Coturnix japonica: one gene and its partner. The protein of the gene in region 2 purifies or fractionates together with the protein of the main gene of each other region. This does not show direct contact. Links are inferred from orthologs where the notes say so. Each region holds a gene or a part of one and is shown on either strand. Other genes may lie near its edges.

Region 1 (2,210 bases), on a different chromosome or scaffold from region 2:
ATTCCCTTCACTGTGGCTTCCCAGATGACTGCTGGTCATCAGTGCAAACCAGCCAGGCTCAGACACTCTAGTCTGAACACCTCTGTAAGCTTCAGGCTGCTCTGATCAAAGGAAGATCCTGTTTCTAAACGCAAGCAATCTTAGACCAAACCTTCAGCAGCCAAATCCTCTCCAACCCATGCAGCATCAGGGGAATCAGGTAAAGAGCTGCACACATACATGGAATCAGCAGAGCCAAACTTAGTCACCTTCTGTTCATGGGGAAGCAGTGAGAACAGGACTAGTGGCTTCCCTTCTTTGAAGCTCTCCATCACTGAGACGGGGACATTGCAGACATGTAATGTAACATACCAGCCAACCTGCCAAGAGAACATCAGATATGAATACCTCTAGCAGTAGAAAAAAAGTGTCAGGACACAGATACAAGGCCAGGATTAGAGAGGGAACCCAAAAGAACAGCATCAACTGGAGTTACCGAAGCTCCTTCAGTCTCCTCTTTCTCTATTTGCCGGAAGAGGTGCTTTCTGGTTCGGGAGAAGTCCTGGAACTGGTAGATCCTTGCATAGTCCCTTGGGAGATTCTCTTTGGGGTCCCATGGAGAAGTCCTGAAGCTCTTGAGCCCTCGGTATTTCTGGAACCTTAAGGACAGACAACAGGAAAAGACAGATTCACAAATCCACAAGGACTAACACTAGGACTCTGCCTTCCTCTTTTCTCTCCCAGCTCAGGACAGGTTCTTTCTGCCCCAAGGAGCAGCACAATGTCTCAGCTACTATCCCCCCTGGAAGCCTCAGAGCCTAAAGGTTCATCTTCAGAAGAGTCCTTCAGCCAGGTTCAGACATCATGGCTAGGACATCACTGGCTTCCTGCCCTACCTCAACAAACCAGAGAGAAAAACCCCTTCTAGCTTCTCTCCCAGCATCGCAGGTTTCTTACCGGACTCTGGCAGGCACATCACGTGGTGTGTCCACCTCATCTGGAAACATCTCATCCATTCTCTCCTGTTTGTATTTCTCCAGCATCTGTTCATCTTCCTCCATCTTCTCATCGTACTGGTCATCCCGCATGCACTCAGACATGGTCATGGTCTCACATTCCTCTTCTGCAAGCTCTTCTTCCTCCTCACTGCTTTCTCCCTCCTGCCACATAGGAGAGCACAGGGAATCTTATGTCTCTGCAGTACTGCAAATCCTGTAGGTATTTGCACAGTGTGACTTATAGCCCAAGCTATAACACAGCCCCCTATACACAGCCCACACTATAACAACAGAGGAAATTCAAGCAAGTCTTATCTCAGTATTGTGTTCTTGCATAGGGAGAGCTACAAGGACAGGACTGAACTAGGATATGCAGTGGCATCCAGAAGATGACTTTCAGTATCAGATCTTAAGAGTTACCTGGGAAACTGCCTCTTCCATCATATCATCACCAAAATCATCATCATCATCATCATCATCACCTTCCTCACTGCCTTCTTCTCCATCATCCACGATCCATGCAGCCTGGTACTTGGATGTACCCTTGGGGACCTTCACCACCCTTTTGTTCTCCTTTTGAGATGCTGTGGGAATTCCCACCAATGGTTAATACAGGTACATTTACAGCATTTACACCAGGAGAACCAAGCCCACCTCTAGAGACCAGAGTCACTATTTCCCAGAATAGAATTTGTCAGAGCCTAGAAAAGGCAGCTAAAATGTAACCCTGCTGTAAGGCAAACCAGCCAGCCCTGCAGTCAGGTGAGGGGAACCAAGAACAGAGGTCACATAAAATGGTTTGGTTCCCAGCTGGCTTGTTTCTCCACAGTCCCCTTCAGCTATCCCACCAACAGGTGGATTCTAACAACCCTTGTAAGAGCAACAAGGGAAAGGTAGAGAAATACTGCTGCTATTCACCCTCTGCTTCTTGCAGTTCTTCTTCGGTTGGCCACGTCTGCTCCCCTTCCATAGGATCAGGAACCACTTCTGACTGCAAAGATTCCTGTTTGCTTGTATCTGCCTTCATCAGGATTTTAACATCTTCCTCCATCTCATCAGTACCATTCGCAGAGTCTTCCTGAAGAACAAAAGCAGAGTCCCCAGCTATGAAGTTATCCATCTGAAGCTAATAACCACTTTAAAGCCAAGGACAACAACTCCCACAGCCCCTGCTACCAGAAAACATCCAAGAAACAGCAGAAACTCCCTCCAGTGTCACATCAGTTATGCTGC
Region 2 (3,500 bases):
AGAGTGTACAAGAAGGGAAAGTGTGGGTGCCACAAGCTCAGCTGCCCCACAGCCGGGAGCTCTGGCTGCTCACCTTGTCAGTCCTGCCCCCACGGCTGGCCCTGCCTCCACGTCCTCGGCCACCCCGGCCCCCTCGGCCACCGCGTCCGGGGCGGCCAAGGTCTCCAAAGTTGATCTCCAGCTGGGATGTGATGTCATTGGCAGGCTTACGGAAGTGATGATCCATTACCGAGTCCTCAGCATGAGCCTGAAATGAACAATTTTCACCTGAGTAATCAGATCACCACCGAAGGGTTTTCATCTGCAGCTGCACTCTTAGTGACACGGCACCTGAGCTCACCTCCAAACACACCACCCTGAGCATGGTAAGAGATACAGCAGGAACCGCTGTGCATCAACTGCACCACTTCTGCAGAGCACTGACACCACGCAGAGGACAGCAAACGCTCTCTGCCTTAACTTCATTAGTGTGCTGGAACATATCTTGTATGTCCAAGACAATTCAGAGGAGCTCTGGCATTCTTTCACATTAACAAGGCTCAGCTTACCTGGGCCCCAACCATTCCAATACAGAACTCTGTTTTCCAGCATTTCGCTTCCTCTCGTTTCATACCTGAGGAACCTTAAGTTTCTATTCATTCAAGTCTTGTGCAATGTGCACTCAATAAGCCATCTTTATTTTGCTCCATGAGTGCTTTACATGTCCTCATTTGCTTCGCTTCGTGTTAAGCACTTCAAGCACTGGAAACCAAAAGAACCCCACCTTGGTATTCAGCCATAGCAAACAGTGGAAGAGGCGTAAGCACAGTTCAGACAGAATATAACTGAGGTAACTAACACAATTCAATTAACACAATTAAGGCTAAAAGAGAACCCACCTCACAAATTCCACTGAGGAAGGGCCCCTACCAGCATCACCATGACCAAACAACCCCCCAGTGCTTGCTGGTGCACTCAAGACTCAACACCCCGCATCCTACCATGCGGAGCAGGCCAAATATTTCAAGTCATTATACATTGAACACAACAAGCAACAGGTGTTTTTGTCTCCCCTACTCAGCACAATTAACTTTCTATACAAGCAGCCCATTTTTGGCTCCTATGATGACATGCAGAATGTAGAATTAACCACACTGGATCAGACCAGTACTGTCTCTTAAAAAGCCCAGCCATCGCACTTTGGAAACGTGACAATCCACAGCTCTCTAACACCCAACTTCTGGCTGTTTGCTCTTTTGCCTAACATGTAGGTGCCACATGCAAGCTTAGGCATTCTGACCGTAAGTTACTTTTCTTGTGGTATAGTTACACAATATACTGACTTTCTGACTTTCAAAGGCAACATACTGTGCAATTAAGTGCAACACCTCTTAATTACCTGTTGTGGATCCTTCACAGAGCAGCCAATGGATACACAGAGGGCTGAAGTCAAAGGGCAGAAAGTTGCTTTTGGGAATGCCTCGAGTCAGTCACAAGCACCGGAATGCACAGAGCCACCAAGAGCACTACCCCCCCCACCCCCCACCCTAATGATCCCTTCCAAGCTCAGCTGGATGTATGGCATCCACAGCACCTGCAGCTTAATTAGGCACAGTGAGAAGTATTGCTCCACGCTGGTTTACTCCAAACATATTTCACTGGGACGTGTTCTGTGCAGCAGCTGCTCCCTAAGAGACTCCTGGTTCTACTGATCTGAACCACACTCTCATCCCTCAGATCTCTTCTCTGCACTCCTAAGCTGGTTTCAGCAGATGCTTTTTGGACAAGAGTCATTCCACGTCTCTACCTGACAGCACGGGCAGAATGAGAATATTAAAGCAGAAGTCCACCAGTGATTCAAAGAGCAGGCAATGCCCCTCATTATGGTTTTGATTCGTTTCCTATTGATGGTGTCTCACCTACTGTCTCAAACACCGCAGGGTACTGAGATGTTATTTCCAACTTACTGGCAGTCAAGTGACTCTTCCGAGAGGCAGAAGTAGTAGTTCTGTGCATCTACTTCCCTGCACTGCTACTGCTTAAAAAAGGAACTCTACAGTCTACCAAAATACTGCATTTTCCCCAACTGAACCTTGGTTTAACCACTAAAGCCAGCAAGTAGCAAGTTCTGTGTGTAACCTGAGGATTTCTTTACCCAAAATAACTCTAGCTAATTTAAAACACCAATAGAAGACTTGGCACATTCTCCTCTTGAGCTTAGGTGGTAGAAGACATACCACATAGACTGTCTGTTCTGAATCATCTTTGGAAGCACTTCATTTGTATGTACTGGCAACTCTCGATAGTGCCCTGATCTAACAGATAGCTGCTCGAAGGCACTGCTGCATTCGTGGGTCTTGGGAAAGCCTGTCCAAAGCTTTAAGAACAAGTCACTAATGGAAAGTTAGCCAAAGCAGATAGGAAGATATGGAAAAACAGCAAGAGAAAATAAGAGACTCACGATGGAAGTGTTTATGGGACGATCAAGAAGGAAAAAAGGCACTAATTACGGAGAGCCCTACACTGTGCAGTGAGACAACAGGCATGGACAGAAAAGCTCCATATTCTCTACGTTTGCTGTTTCCTTATACGAAAGCCCTTCATTTCAGAAGGGGCTCCGATCAAAAGCACGTATCACCAGTTAGATAGAAAGGATCAGTACCTCATTTGACTCCAGCAGACTCCCCTGCATTTCTGTCATCGCCTTTGTCTGATGAAAGTTGCGTGTCCACACCAAAGTGACAAAAGGAACAAAGGGAGAAAACAAAAGGAAGAAATGAGACTCAACTACATATAGAAACAACACGTAATAAGGTCACATGAACTTGCTGGATACAGATGGCAGTGAGCACACGAAGCAGCAAAAGGATGAGAGAAGTTGTACAAGCATCCAGAAGGTGCAGAGGATGGATTTATACTGGAAGGCAAAGAGAAATCTCAGATTGGGAATAAGAAGTTGTTTAACGACCTGCTGAGAACTCCACCTGCAGACCAATCTCCTTCACCTCACTACAGTGGGCACACAGGCCTGCACAGACAGATGGCACAGGTTGAGGGTGGCTTCAATTAATTATGCCTAATGAAAAAAGGAATTCAGGCTGCGCAGAAACTGAGCTACACACTTTGCAAAGATGACCGACTGTGTTCCGATACTTGCTTCTCAGTCTTCCATTGTGATCTCTTCTCTAAGGAAGCGATGAGGGTAGAGGCACAGCACAACAGATGTGTTGAGCAGGAGCTCATTCACTGGTGGATGAATCTCTCCAGGAGTTGTTTTGAACAACTGGAACAAATTTTAACATTTCTTCACAACTCAGCTTCCTGTTATTTGTTCAGTAGGACTTGAAGTACTCAATTACTAAGCCAGCTGCAGAGAAGGAAAAGGATCTCTTATGGCACAACCAAGCCTTCTGGAAAGACTCTCATCAGATGAGGGCTGCCAATACATGTGGATTTCATATTAAATCAGCAAGAATCTGAGACAGTACGAAGAGTTCATTGTACAGCACGTGGAAAAGACC

Evidence for each region.
Region 1: the proteins of SERBP1 (region 2) and TSR1 purify together in Homo sapiens (affinity purification with mass spectrometry; 3 studies listed by BioGRID and IntAct, with this or other methods). This does not show direct contact. The link is inferred for Coturnix japonica from reciprocal best matches to the Homo sapiens genes SERBP1 and TSR1.

Annotation. Positions count from the first base shown.
Region 1 is NC_029534.1:4,412,047-4,414,256, forward strand, and holds part of TSR1 (pre-rRNA-processing protein TSR1 homolog), read right to left. Parts: intron 2,056-2,210; coding exon 1,896-2,055; intron 1,562-1,895; coding exon 1,398-1,561; intron 1,140-1,397; coding exon 937-1,139; intron 871-936; exon of another isoform or gene 778-870; intron 639-777; coding exon 476-638; intron 360-475; coding exon 249-359; intron 1-248. UniProt on the Homo sapiens protein: Required during maturation of the 40S ribosomal subunit in the nucleolus.
Region 2 is NC_029523.1:25,833,285-25,836,784, forward strand, and holds part of SERBP1 (plasminogen activator inhibitor 1 RNA-binding protein), read right to left. Parts: intron 2,690-3,500; coding exon 2,642-2,689; intron 248-2,641; coding exon 74-247; intron 1-73. UniProt on the Homo sapiens protein: Ribosome-binding protein that promotes ribosome hibernation, a process during which ribosomes are stabilized in an inactive state and preserved from proteasomal degradation.